Linked DNA regions of Diceros bicornis minor. The protein of the gene in region 1 interacts with the protein of each later gene in a pairwise test. Links are inferred from orthologs where the notes say so. Each region holds a gene or a part of one and is shown on either strand. Other genes may lie near its edges.

What was found.
Region 2: the proteins of STX11 (region 1) and CCDC184 interact in binary tests that used the Homo sapiens proteins (3 or more experiments, as listed by UniProt). The two-hybrid records come from large-scale screens. The link is inferred for Diceros bicornis minor from reciprocal best matches to the Homo sapiens genes STX11 and CCDC184.

What each region holds. Positions count from the first base shown.
Region 1 is NC_080778.1:23,344,386-23,351,961, reverse strand, and holds the start of STX11 (syntaxin-11), read right to left. Parts: upstream 3,093-7,576; 5' UTR 3,000-3,092; exon of another isoform or gene 2,922-2,999; intron 2,758-2,921; 5' UTR 2,618-2,757; coding exon 2,569-2,617; intron 1-2,568. UniProt on the Homo sapiens protein: SNARE that acts to regulate protein transport between late endosomes and the trans-Golgi network.
Region 2 is NC_080756.1:21,742,879-21,750,544, forward strand, and holds CCDC184 (coiled-coil domain-containing protein 184), read right to left. Parts: upstream 2,735-7,666; 5' UTR 2,398-2,734; coding exon 1,807-2,397; 3' UTR 584-1,806; downstream 1-583.

The DNA.
Region 1 (7,576 bases):
AGGTACTTTATAATAGTACCCTTATTTATAAACCTTCCTTGAATTATCCTCATTTGAACGTGCCGTCTTGTTTCACATTGGGACTCTAACTGATCAAGCATTCTTAATTAGTAGCTAGAGCACAGCGTCCAAATCCTTGTTCTGAAAATTTTATACCTACAGTCCTTACAAAAATATTCCCTGGGGGTCAGCCCGGTGGCATAGCCGTTAAGTTCGCACGGCCCACTTCAGTAGCCCAGCTTTCGTGGGTTCCGATCCTGGGCACAGACATACTTACCGCTCATCAAGCCGTGCTGAGGAGGCGTCCCACGTAGAAGAGCTACAACTCTACAACTATGACACACAACTACGTACTGGGGCTTTGGAGAGAAAAAAGAAAAAGAGGAAGATTGGCAATAGATGTTAGCACAGGGCCAATCTTCCTAAAAAAAGTTCCCTGATGTTACTGTCATCTCTTTATTTCTTCTTTTTTTTTTTTAAACTTTATTTATTTATTTTTCCCCCTAAAGCCCCAGTAGATAGTTGTATGTCATAGTTGCACATCCTTCTAGTTGCTGTATGTGGGACACGGCCTCAGCATGGCCGCATCGGTGCACGCCCGGGATCTGAACCTGGGCCACCAAGGAGCGGAGCACGTACACTTAACCGCTAAGCCACGGGGCCAGCCCTCATCTCTTTATTTCAATCCACTGGTTACCTTTATGAAGAAACCATGTTGTACATCATATTATATAAATTTTTCTTCAGTACACTTAGACTAGAAAAATATTCTCAAATTCACAGGTAAATCTTTTTGCATATAGCTTCTCTACATAAAATGTAATTTACAGAAATATATAAATAAGACTTTAAAGTAAATAGGTTAATTTTTATGGTTTTAAATATTTCAATAGCTAATAACTTAAAATTACTTCCAGGTGTATGAGGAAATCTGTACTTCAGTACTGCAAACAAGCCATCGTTACTCAACGTACACAGCTTACCAGAGAACACAGTTTCTAACTCGTTCCTGTACACTGAATGTTTGTGTCCCCAAAATTCTTATGTTAAAACCTAATCCCCAGTGTGATGATATTAGAAGGTGGGGACTTGGGAGGTGATTAGGTCATGAGGATGGAGTGCTCATGAGTGGGATTAGTGCCCTTGTAAAAGAGGCCCCAGAGAGCACCCTTGCCCCTTCCTCTGTGTGAGGACACAGCAAGAAGATAGCCATCTATGAACCAGGAAGCGTGCTCTCATCAGACACTGACTCTGTCAGCACCTTGATCTTAGATTTCCCAGCCTCCAGAACTGAGAGAAATAAATTTCTGTTGTTTATAGGCCACACAGTCTAGAGTATTTTTGTTATAACATGTAACCCAGATAAACTAAGCCACCCTTGAAACACAAGATTTAATTGTACAATTATTAGCAAACATAAATCATTAAAAAAGTACAAACTCCATAATGCTAATACCTGTATTAAAGATAACAAATACTTATTGTTCAGTTACAATGTGCCAAGCATGGTGTTAATGTTTTCATATAATTTAATTCTCAACGCAAATTTTTGAAGTGTGCACAACTCAACCCCATTTGGCAGAGGAGGAAATGAGCTGTAAACGTCCAATGTCCCTGCATCAGCAAGCAAAGGACTCTAGGTTCAAATCCCAGCGTCTGACATGGAAGTCTGCACTCTTAGCCATCAATAAAGAATCCGGGAACAACATCGAAGACCACAGAAGAAGCAAAAAATAAGACCTTTCCAAAGCAAATGATTTCTTTTATCCTGTTACCTGCACTCAAAGAGCAATGTCAAAATCTAAGTAAGCCTGGAAAAATTACTAAGAAAAAAAAAGAAAGAAAAGAATGCAATAGATAACTCTCATAGAAAACCAAATTTCTTGTTGTTTAGTAAGCTTACTTTTCTGTGGATGGTACACAAGGAAGGGTAGGAAACAAGTGGTGGAAATTGCACTATTTTGGTGTTAGTTACATTTTATCCCTGCCTGCAATTCCTGAAATGACACTGTTGTATTTTTATTCTAACCCAAATTGCAGTTAAGTGAAAACTTTCCTCTAATATATTGGCATACTTGCTGTAAGAGGCCTGAAGTTGAGCATGTACTAGCTGCTCTAAGCATACAAATTGAACATTCTCCCTGAAAAAGAACAGGCTGAAAAATTGGGTCTAGAGATAGTATAACTGATCCGCTTAACAGTTCCTAATAATTTTTCTGTAGCTGTGATTTTGCATAACAGGTTGCAAAAGTATTTTTAGATGAGACTGTTACTCAACAGTCACTTCTGGTAAACCCCTTTTTACACCATCACGCTGTCCTGCGGAACTGTTAATAGTGAAACAGAAAAGCATAAACAGAATGTAACAAATAAGCAGTGCCTTTTCCAGACAATAGTTTAGTCATAAGCCTTTAATTATTGATTTTGAATTTGAACAACTAAATTAGTTCTCAACAAGTGTAATTTTCACTAGATAGACTAAACTTTTTTACATTAATATTTTGTTCATGTAGATGAATTTGTGCTACCGGTTTATAAACTAGGTATTTCTATACCAAAAAGCCTTACTTTGGGGCTGAGACATGGTTTTCGTCTCTTTTTCCTCCTCTTCATCCATTTTGTCCCCTTGCTGCAGCTGCACGTCTTTACTTGTCTGATTTCCCTTTGGGTCTCTCTTCAGACGGACAGATTCCCTCCTCAAAGATGGCTCATAATTCCTGTGAGTTCATGGACCACAGCCAGCATCCTTCCGTGATCCTAAAGGAAATATAATAGTACAATATTGGCACCACAAAAACCAAACGTGTTTCAAATGATGAATATGTTTTTAAGATGAACTCACTAAAGTGATACAGTGAAAACAGATCGACATCTGAGAAGTGACCTCACGGATTCAACAGACAGTCTTTCCTTGAGCATACCTGCCTTTGGGATGATGATCTTGTTGAGGACACCTTGGAGAAGCTGACAGATGTTCCTGTCAGTCCACAGCTCCTTACCTTACTTCTGTGCCCCGAGTATGAGGAGGAATCTTTCACAGGAGTTGACACGGCGTTGCATCACTGGCTCTGGGTGTTGAAAGCAGGTCACTCCAGCTGATTTCTTTAAAGCCTCTTTTCTACAAGTTGGTGATGGGCAAAGGTGAATTATGAAACAGGAACTTTTGCCACAGCTCTACATCCCCAGTCACAAAGAAACATTTACAAAACAAATGCCCTCATCCAAATCGGAATTCATGATTGATTACAGTGCAAATGTGAGTGAGGGACATAATCTATTCACGCCTTATTTCTTTCATGGTCCTAGTACACCACCTTCCAACTTAAGTAATGAGTGGACCCTTCTTCAAGGAAAAAGAAGATACGGCACCTGGTGTTAACAGGTTATTTCTACTCTGTTAGCTGAATATAATATAAATACAATATTAGTTACATAAACATGGTATAAATTCCTTATGGCTCCAAACCAATCTACACATAAAAACTATAAAATTAATAATATTAAAATAAACAGCATTGATTTAATATCGTTTTGATGAAGTGAAACCAAAATTGTTTGTTCTAAAATTAAAATGTGCATTGGGGTATTTTGTATTTCACTTGTCATCTATACAATTCCCTTTATTTTGAAGACAATAGACACTCATTTGAATGATCTTCATCATCGTTGCTATGATTTTTCCTTTTAAAGTACATGCATCTTGAATCATCAATCCATGAATTTTTTTCAGCTTTATTGAGGTATAATTGACAAATATAATTGTAAGATATTTAAAGTGTGCATTGTGGTGATTTGATATATGTATGCATTGTGAAAAAATTCCCACCATCTAGTTAGTTAACATATCCATCACCTCCCATATTTATCTTTTTTTTTTTGAAGAGAACATTTAAGTTTTACTCTCTTAGCAAATTTCAGTTGTATAATACAGTGTTATCAACCATAGTTACCACGTCTACACTGGATCCTCATCCAATTCATCTTATAGCTGAATGTTAGTACTCTTTTACCTACCTTCCCTATTCCCCCCACCCCCCAGCCCCTGGCAATCCCTTTTCAATTCTCTTTGTATGAGTTTGACTCCTTTTTTTTTTTAGATTCCATATATAAGTGATACCATGCAGTATTTGTCTTTCTCTATCTGGCTTATTTCACTTAACATAATACCCTCAAGTTCTATCCATGTTGCTATAAATGACAGGATTTCCTTCTTTCTCATGGCTGAGTAATATTCCATTGTACATATATATACTATATCTTCTTTATTCATTCATTTGATGATGGACATTTAGGGTGTTTCCATATCTTGGCTATTGTGAATAATGCTGCAATAAACATGAGAGTGTGGATGTCTCTTCGAAGTCCTGTTTTCATTTCCTTTGGATATATACCCAGAAGTGGGATTGCTGGATCATATGGTAGTTCTATTTTTAATTTTTTGAGGAACCTCCATATTGTTTCCCATGGTGGCTGCACCAATTTACAATCCCACCACCGGTGCCCAAGGGTTCTTTTCTCCACATCTATGGCCAAAACTTATTAGCCCTTGTCTTTTTGATGATAGCCATTCTAACAGGTGTGAAGCGATATATCATTATGGTTTTGGCTTGCATTTTCCTAATGATTAGTGATGTTGAGCACAGGTACTTTTCATGTACCTGTTGATCATCTACATGTCTTCTTCTGAGAAATATCTATTCAGTTCCTCTGCCCATTTTTTAATCAGATTGGTTTTTCTGCTATTGAGTTGTATGAGTCCTTTATATATTTTGGATATTAGCCCCTTCTCAGATAAATGATTGGCAAATATTTTTCCCATTCCATAGGTTGCCTTTTCATTTGGTTGATGGTTTCCTTTGCTGTGCAAAAGTTTTTTATTTGGTGTAGTCCCTCTTGTTTATTTTTGCTTTTGTCGACTTTGCTTTTTTTTTTTTTTTTTGCTGAGGAAGATTCGGCCTGAGCTAACATCCACTGCCAATCTTCCTCTTTTTGTATGTGAGCCACTGTCACAGCATGGCCACTACAGAAAAGTGGTGTAGGTCCGCACCCAGGAACCGAACCTGGGCCACTGAAGCAGAGTGAGCTGAACTTAGCCACTAGGCCACTGAGGCTGTTCCTTGTTGACTTTGCTTTTGGTGTCAAATCCAAAAAATCATTGCCAAGACTGATGTCAAGGAGCTTACCCTCTATGTTTTCTTCTAGGAGTTTTCTGGTTTCAGGTCTTACGTTTAAGTCTTTACTCCATTTTGTACTGATTTTTGGGCATGGTGTAAGATAGGGGTCCAATCTCATTCTTTTGCATGTGGCTGTCCAGTTTTCCCAACACCATTTATTGAAGAGACTGTTCTTTCCCCATTGTATAGTCTTAACTCCTTTGTCATAAATTAGTTAATCATATATGTGTGAGTTTATTTCAGGGATCTCTATTCTGTTCCCTTGATCTGTGTGTCTGCTTTTATGCCAATGCCATATGTTTTCATTACTATAATTTTGTAATAGAGTTTAAAATCAGGAAATGTGATGCTTTTACCTTTGTTCTTTCTCAAGATTGCTTCTGCTATTTGGGGTCTTTTGTGGTTCCATACAAATTTTAGAATTATGTGGCCTATTTCTGTGAAAAATGGTGTTGGAATTTTGATAGGGATTGCATTGAATCTGTAGACTGCTTTGTGTAGTATGGACCTTTTCACAATATCAATTCTTTTCAATCTATGAACATGAAATATCTTTCCATTTAGTTGTGTTTTGTTCAATTTCTTTCACCAATGTCTTATAGTTTTTAGTGAACAGATCTTTCACCTCCTTGGCTAAATTTATTCCTAGATATATTTTTTTTGATGCAATTGTAAATGGGGTTGTTGTCTTAATTTCTCTTTCTAATAGTTTGTTATTAGTGTATAGAAATGCAACTGATTTTTGCATGCATATTTTGTATCCTGCAATTTTACTGAATTCACTTATTAGTTTCAACAGTGTTTTAGTGGATTCGTTAGGGTTTTCTACATATAATATCATATCATCTGCAAATAGTGACACTTTTGCTTCTACCTTTTCAATTTGTATGACTTTTATTTATTTTCTTGCCTAATTGCTCTGGCTACGACTTCCAGTACGATGTTGAATAAAAGTGAAGAGAATGGGCATCCTTGCCGTGTTCTTGATCTTAGAGGAAACGCTTTCAGCTTTTCACCATTGAATATGATGTTAACTGTGGGCTTGTCCTATATGGTCTTTATTATATTGAGGTACATTCCCTCTGTACTCACATTGTTGAGAGTTTTTATTATGAATGAATGTTGCATTTTGTCAAATGCTTTTTCTGCATCGAGATGGTCATGATTTTCATCCTTTGTTTTGTTAATGTGGTGTATTACATTGATCGATTTGGGGATGTTGAACCATCCTTGCTTCCCTGGAATAAATCTCACTTGATCATGGTGTGTGATCCTTTTAATGTATTGTTGAATTTGGTTTGCTAATATTTTGTTAAGGATTTTTGCATCTGTGTTCATCAGGGGTATTGGCCTGTAATTTTCTCTTCTTGTAGAGTCTTTGTCTGGTTTTCATATCAGGGTAATGCTGGCCTTGTAAAACAAGTTTGGAAGTGTTCTCTTCTATTTTTTGGAAGAGTTTGGGAAGGATAGGTATTAATTATTCTTTAAATGTTTGGTAATATTCACCAGTGAAGCAACGTGGTCTTGGACTCTTGTCTGCCGGAAGGTTTTTTATTACTGAATCAATCTCCTTAGAAGTAATTGATCTATTCAGATGTTCTATTTCTTCATGATTCAGTCTTGGTAGGTTGTATGTTTCTAGCAATTTATCCATTTCTTCTAGGTTGTCTAATTTGTTGGTATATAATTGTCTCTTATAATCTTTTGTATTTTTGTGGTATCAGTTGTAACATCTCCTTTTTTATTTCTTTTTTTTTTTTTTGCTGAGGCAGATTCACTCTGAGCTAGCATCTGCTGCCAATTTTCCTCTTTTTGTATGTGAGCCACTGCCACAGCATGGCCAATACGGACGAGTGGTGTAGGTCTGCACCCAGGAACCAAACCCGGGCCGTTGAAGCGGAACACACTGAACCTAACCACTAGGCCACTGGGGCTGGCCCTTCTCTTTCATTTATGATTTCATTTATTTGAGTCCTCTCTTTTTCTTGGTGAGTCTAGCTAAAGGGTTGTCCATTTTGTTTATCTCTTTAAAAAACTAGCTCTTAGTTTCATCGATTTTTTTTCTGTACTGTCTTTTTAGTCTCTACTTCATTTATTTCCACTTTGATCTTTGTTATTTCCTTCTTTCTACTAACTTTGGGTAGTTTGTTCTTCATTTTCTAGTTCTATGAGATGTAAAGTTAGGTTGTTTATTTGAACTCTTTCTTTTTCTTAATGTAGGGGTCTATTGCTATGAATTTCCCTCTTAGAACTGCTTTTGCTAATCTCATATGTTTTGGTATGTTGTGCTTCCATTTTCATTTGTTTCAAGATATTTTTTGATTTCTCTTTTGACTTATTTTTGACCCATTAGTTGTTCAGTAGCATGTTGTTAAATCTCCACATATTTGTGAATTTTCCAG
Region 2 (7,666 bases), on another chromosome or scaffold:
ACACAGCACCCCAGATCATTCTTCTCCCAAATATTGTTTAGGGCAGCCTCAGGAAATCTCCAGCACCCAAGGGAGCAGACTAGAGCTGATGTCAGTCTAAGCTCCCTGGGGAACACCTTACCAGCATTCTCCACTAGAGGCCTGAGGCAGTTATTGTGGTTTCCTTTGTGATGTGTCACTCTACTCCCAGAGCAGTCCCTGCCAAACAAGAACCCCTCCCTTACCCTCCAGTGGAACAGGTGTCATTCCTGCCATTCCAGGACTCCAATTTGGAAATCATCTCCCAGGGGTCAGGTGCTTCACTGAAAAGAAGTCTCTTGCACATCTGGAGTTGTGGCTACTAAAAACCCTTGTTAGTTTGGGAGTCTCAACACGTACTCGCTCCTTCCCTAGTCCAGCTTGAGGTCAAGGTCCAGGATGGAAGAGAAAGCAGACAGAGTTGGCAATGTGTGTCCCAACCAGGGCAAGGATGGTTAACTCCTTGAAACTGGAGGCAAAGAGAGAGGAGGGAAGCCCTGGTCCATGCAGTGGGCCCAGAAGCCCCACCCTGACATCCCCCTAGTACCAGTCAGCAAGGAGGGGAGATGACGCCTCTTTATTAAGGTTAACACCAAGGAAAGCATTGAGAAGGAATACACAGAGGAGGAGGAAGGGCACACAAAGTCACCACTTGAGGTGGGAGGGAGGCACATCAGTTAAGAACCTCAGGACAGCCACATGCTCCATGCCCTGGTTGTGGGGGAAAAGAGGAAAAGAGAGGGGAAAGTGCCATGATAGCCTGGGGCTCACAAAAGGGTCTGATGCCCCCTGAACCTAACACCAGAGCCACAAGCCCTGCCCCTCAGGGCTCACACACTACTACACAAGTCGACACACATAACACACACAAGACTTTATGGAGGCAACACCGAGAGGCAGTGGGCAGGGACATATTGACAGAAAAAAGAACTGAAGTTAAGCGGGTGTAGCCAGGAGAGAGACGGTTTTTGGCTGCAGCCCCCAAGAGTCCCTCAAATGTCCCCTAAATCTGAGCTGTTGCTGAGCACCCCCAAGTCTCTGCCTGTGAACTGGGCGCTTTGTTCTCTAAGCCCCAGTGAGTAGATAAAGCAATCCCAGATGAAGTCAGTGACAAGGCAGGATCCGCTCTGCATGCAAAATCCTAGAGGTTGAGCTATTATGTCTTCATGCACATTCATAGCCAGCTCCTCCCCGCCCAGGGGCCCTTGGAACCCCATTCACCCAGATTCCTAGGGCTGCAGTTCCCTCCTCCAGCTTCCTTTACCAATCAGCAGGCGCAGAGATCTGTGAGGGGGAGAGGCTTCTGCAGAGCGCTGAATATCTTGGATTTCAGCAGAAGGGTAAATTTTCTGTTGCCAGAACAGAATACCCCCAATTCCTTAATTTCTAGGTAAATCGTTAGAGATTATTTGCCATAGTCCTAGATAAGTCCTTTTTCAGAATAGAAAAAGCAGAATTTTATTTACACAATTCGGGGGTTCTCCTGTTGGCTGGGAAGGGGGAAAGGGCAGAGTAGGGGGTGAATGGGAGTCCAGAGGTAGGCGCTTCCTCTCCCGGAACCTCACCTTTCCGCAGTTTGCTACGTCTCGCTTGGTTAGGCAGAAAGAATTCTCCATGCTCCCAAAGTCCTTCACCCTATAAATCCTTCCTCGAGGGAGTCTCTCTCTGCCTGACCCACAAGAGCAGCGGTCGGAGTAAAGCACGCTGCACCGCGCCGTTCAGTCCCCTCCGTCATGCACTCGGAAACCCAAAGCCAGCCCAGGAAAGTAATGCCCCCTCCGAGTCCCCTCACAGAGAGGCCTCACCCTCCAGCTGCAGCAGGGTAATGTCGGGGAGGTCGAGGGGCTCCACAAGTGGCCCGTCCCCCCCAAGGAGACCAGCACAGGGGCTCTCGGGGCGCTCACAGTGACTAGTGGGTGTGGCGGAGCTGGGCATCTCCTTTTCCTCTTCTTCATCGTCATCCTCCTCGTCCTCAGGATGGCGACCCAGCAAATCGCTGTCCCCGATCCCAGGCGAAGGGGTCTCCGTCTCTTGGGGGGGCCCCGAGAAGCTCCCCTTGCCGCCGACCACGCCCAGGCCGCCCTGGCGGGGCGCGGTGGTCATAATCCGGCACATGGAGACGATAGCCCGCTGGTTGGCGCACACGTCGTCCGAGAGCACCTGGATGTGCGAGGCCTGCTCGTCCAGGGCCCCCCGCATGGCTCTCACGTCCTCAAACAGGGCCTGCAGCTGGGCCTTCAGGTGCTCCATCAGTTCCTTCATGCCGCCGTTGTACTCCCCGGAGATCACGTCCCCCACGGCCGGCACGGTGGACACCTCCAGAGGTGCCGGCATTTCGCCGCCGTCCTTGGTCATGATCTCCAGCAGACCGTCCTCCATTGAGTGGCAGAAACGGGCGGTGGCGGCTCTGGGTCCGGTCCAGCCCGGCGTCCAGGGTGGGGGAGGGGCGGGAAGGGGGACAGGTCCTCAGATGGGCGGGGAGGAGCCGAGGGAAGAGGAGGCTCCCGAGACGGGTGGGGAGCCGAAGTGAGGAGCCAAGTCCCGGGCGGAGGGCGAGGGCAGGATGGGCGGAGGCCGGGAAGCGCCGGTGGGACGAGCACCCGAGGAGAGTCCCAAGGCCGGCGTCTCTCCGGCTCGCCCTGGGGCGAAAGCGCCCTGCCCTGCCTCCCCTCCTGAACTGCGCCTGTGTCAGCGCCGCCCTGCGGACGCCACAGCAGCAAGTGCCCGCCGGTGTCCTGAGTCACAGAAGCGCTCGCGTAGGGGCCCGGGTGGAGGCTGAGGCCAGCAGCGGGTCCGGCTCGGGACTCTCCCCGGCCATTAACGAGCAGCGCTCGCGAAGTGTGGTAGGAGCGGCAGAGGCGGGTCTCCCAGCCGCGCCGCGGATGCTCCTGTGTTTCCAAGGCGACGCACGCCACGTAAATGACGTGTGTCTCCATGGCAACCAGGAAGTAGAGAAGGAAAAGGAGGATGGTGGGGAAGCTGCAGTGGAGTTCTGGAGTCTGAGCCAGCGGGGGTTGGGGGGTGCGGGGTGGGGGGGACGCTGCAGTGACCTCAGCTGAGGCTGGAAAGAGCGTGTGGCTGCAATGTTTAATAGGGAAGCATGAGAGAGCAATTTGCTGCATAAACCCTCAGGTCTGGGAGAGATCGTCCCTCTACCAGGCTGGATACTAGATTCTGAACGCGACTGCCTTGGAAGGATTTTCACCCGCCTGCAGTCCTTTTTTAGAAGAGGGCGCTAGAGCCGGGACCTGCTTCTCTGTCCTCCAGCCGTCCGCAGGAGAGCAGAGAGGGTAGAGAGGCTGATGCTAATAATCTCAGACTTGAGCTGGGGCACGGTGGCGCCCTGGAGCCTGCCCCGCCCGGCGTTGGCGATGCAGAGGCAGGGGAGGGGACTACGGAGGTTTCCCCTCTCCCTTCGGCTTCTGCAGTAAATCACCCCTCTAGCTGTTGATAGCACAGGAGCTGAGAAAGGATGGGATTCCCTCCCATATGAGACTCAACTGCTCCTACCCAGGGCTCTGGGAGTTTTTCCAGGATGGTAAGGCAAAGTACTTAAATTTTGAGAACGAAAGCTCCATACGGGCAGGGATTTTTGTCACCTCTGCGCCCTCCATCACGGAATCCCCAGCACCTAAAATAGTGCCTGGCACGTAGTAAGTACGTAAATGCTCAATACATTTGTTGACTGAATACTTGAACAAGAACCACTATGTCCCATTCTCTCATCTGGAACTCTCCGCCTACACGTAGTGGATTTTAGGAGACCTGAATTCAGTTTTGTTTTTGCCGCTTATTAATTCAGAGACCTTGAATAAATCATTTTCCTGATCTGTTAGGGAATTGTACTGTATAATCTATAATATTATTTCTACCTCTGAATTACACTCTGTGTCAGCTCACAGGTGAAAGGGTGAGTTGTTGACAATGTAAGGGATGGATGGGGGGACTGTGTGTGAGCGTCATTCCCCCTCTGCAGGCCCAGTGCCCCTGTACAGACTGCATACACTGAGTGTCTCAACCTGTGTGATGACTCCTTTCCCTATTTGAGGGATGGAGCGGAAGGGGAGGAGGAAGAAGAAAAATTGAGTTTAATGTATTTACAGATGACTTCAGATTAAGAAGCAAACAGCACATGGGCAGCAGCATACTAACTAATAATGACCTTAATAAACTGGAGAAACCAAGTAGTCAGAAACCAAAAATGAAGTTCACAAAAACAAATCTGGAGAGGAGAAACAAGCCACATCACTTCAAGATGGGGAAAAGCTAGGAATGGGTGAGCATTTTGTATACTAGTGGTTCAACCATAGCAATTGTATTACCTTGGTGTTTCCCTGGTTGCATACTCTAATGCTGAAGAGTGGGGCTGACCCAGAGAAACTTTTATGGCACTAAAAAACTGTTTGACCTATGCGTGTCTTGCTGCTGTCAAAATAGAAATAAATGGGGAAATAGTCTAAACAACAAAATGTTTAAGGCATTGCTGATATAATAAAGTATTATGCAACCATTAGAAATTTGATTTCCCCAAAACAAATATATGAACAAATTAAAAACCCTACAGTATTGTATTTTCTAAAACAAATGATTCAATCCCATTTGCTTGTTCATTCCTTCCTTCGTTGCACAAACTTGAGGTGCTCTCACCTTGGTTATCACTCCTACCTCCACCATGTGCCCCACAGGTTATTCCTAAAGTTCAGGAGAAGACAGAAATGCTTTTCCTTGATTTCCCTAAGCACACCGGAAGTGGGCTGGTATTTTGAAAAACTTTACCAAAAAAACTATAGGAAAACTAGAAACAGAGACAAAACAAAAAACAGCTGAGCTTACACAGCATAAGTTTCTGATCATACTACAGCAAGCATGTTCTCAGCTCATACAGGTTCCACCCTCTGTTCATCCTTCCCAGGAGAGCTCTGCAGTAGCCAGAAAAGACTGACATGACTTTCTTTTTTTTTTGTCTGGGTCTGTTACTTCACATCTCTTGACCAGCACTTCACATGGATGATTTCATCTTGCCAGCTCCCTTACCCTTCAGGTGGGTCCCTGCCTTCTATCTACAAGGAGTGATCCTGTCCCCAGTATAGGACCTCCCATTTTAGGCTTAACTATACATTAAACATAGCCCCTAGACAGTAGGAGCTGGGTTATGCCATCATACAATGTCCTTTGCCACTATTGTTAAGGATACCCTGTGTGTCAAGGGTTTCAGCATAGGATTACATCATGCTGCCCAGAGGCACTGGCATGAAGTCTGCTGAGAGTACAGGGAGTCTGAGCCTAGAGGGAGGGGGAAGTATTGGAGAAGCATGAAAGAACATAGGAAACAGGTGCAGAGATCAAGGGGTGTGGCTGATCCAGTCAAGTTCCAGGTCAGACATTTGAGAGCCAAGGGTAGGTGGGAACTGGGGGAGTGGACTAGTAGCAGGACTTGAAAATATAAGGAGGAGACCATTGGTGCATCAGATTCAGAACCAGATCATTTTAGGAATTCTGTGTGGAAAGTGAGACAAGCGAAAATGGAAGAAAGGTCTAGTCTCAGAAAAATAAGGGGGACAGATGCAGAAAGCAAAGCGGAGCCTCAGTCAGCTGGCTGGGTTACAGGGCTGGGCCCTCTGGATGCCAATGCCCTAGGGTTTGTTGAGTGGATCCATTCCCAAGCAAAAGTGGGCTAAATGGATACTCTGGCCATGTCACTAGAGTATTCACACATAGCAAGTATGCCACGTAGAGAGAAAAATAAGCCCTACACGCTCCTCTTCTGTTTTTTGCCTTTCTTTTATCCTATGGGAATTGCCTTAGCCGTTATATTCCTTCATCCCAGTCTCACCAGCCAATTGGGGGAGGGCACTCCATGCTGCATAGATTTAGGTCTCTGTCAGGTACACCTAGTTCCAAACATCACAAGTTGTGGTTCTTAGTAGTCTCTGCCATTTTCCTCTATCTCATGTTTAGTTTATCTCCAGTCTCTATTTTATATAGCCAGTGTACTGTTTGCACTATAAATCCAATGGTCATGATGAAGATGCTCACTTGACTCAAATCTAGAATGATGGTCAAAATCAAGGTACAGCTGACTGCTGCACCTTAGATCCACAATACTCCCCAAATGTAACTTTTATGAAGCTGAGTTGCCTTGTGGCCCATCTCAGCATATCACATTGAAAAGAAACACATCCAATGGCCAAAAAGAATTAAAAAGCACTTTGGATTTTTAATATAGTCTCTGGTAAAACTCTTAAGGAGTTTGCCTTCCTAGCACAGAGCAAAACATCTTAAACTTCTCTTCCCTCCTTCTCTATTCATCTCACATATTATGGCATAGCTGTTGCTGCCATTCTGTTTCCATTCTCCCCAAACACCCCCAAACTTTCTCTCAAGCCTGGCCCTTGCTTTTTCACTCCCCCAACCCCTTCACTTCCAGGGTGAATTCTTTTTCTCTTCTGCAAGAAGAAACTCCTTGTCCTGGTTTCAGCTCCTTGGCTTCTGTCCCTCATTCCCCTGGTCTGCATAGGTGCCAGGACAGTGACAGAGGTCTCCCTCCTAGAGGGTAATAAAGACTGAAAGGCTGAGAATATGCATATTGTTGTGGGTTTTGTCTGTCACATAGACTAAACTTTCTCAGCATAAGAGGGTGGTTTGCCTGGTGTTACAGCCAACCTGCTTTGCTTATCTCCTCCACACTTGTACAGTAATGGGCATGACAGTTTGCAAGGACTCTCAGCCCTTATAAGCTTCTGACAGAAGAGAGGGTCCAACTGTCCACACTCTCAAGAGTCTTTAGTGTCACAGACATGGCCATGAGGTGAGCCACACACACACACCCCTCACTTAAGGCCTGAACTGGACTTTCAGTTGCTTGCTGTGTGCCCTCAAACTATTTTTAGGAGTCTTAAAGGCAACCCCCTCCCCCATTTCTTTCTCTTCCATATTAATTTTACTCAGAGCAAGAATTCCAGAGGACCTTCCAACTTCTCACACAGTCTCAATTTCCACTGAAAATAACCTGTCATTCCAATTTAACCTGTTTTGCTGGTGTTCACCCTCACCCCTCTGCAACAGCCTCTCTTATGTCAACACTTGCAGAGGTCTTTTTCCACCTCTCAGTGCATCTTCAGTCATTTATCCTGTGCCACTCTGACATAACTAGATCCAGTCTAAATGTTGCTGGGTAGTTGGCCACAGACACAGGCATTCAGAGATCTAGAGCTACCCATGACCTCTGAGGTACAGGGCCTCATGCACCCTCCATCCTCTCCCTATATTTTCTCCCCCCAGAAAATTGCCAACAGCTCAGGGCTTGGTTTGGCTGCAAGTCATAATCCTTATCAGGCATTGATAATGCTGTACCACCTGAGAACACTCACAATTTCTGGTGCTATGGGGCAATTTTTCTTGACAAATTACCTCTCCCAGAGTATCAGTCCAATTTGGAGGAAATTATGTCCAAGTATCTGGGCAGGGTATGGACTGTGGTATGTCTGCCACAGATTTCCCTTCCATTTAAAGAAGTGTTCCTCAATACTGACTTATGCAAACTTTCAGGCCCCTTCTCACCTGTCATATCTTGAGGAAGTCTGTGGTATTCTATTGTAAACAATTCATACAAAATTTTGTAAGTCTCACTCTTACTAATACCTCTAGT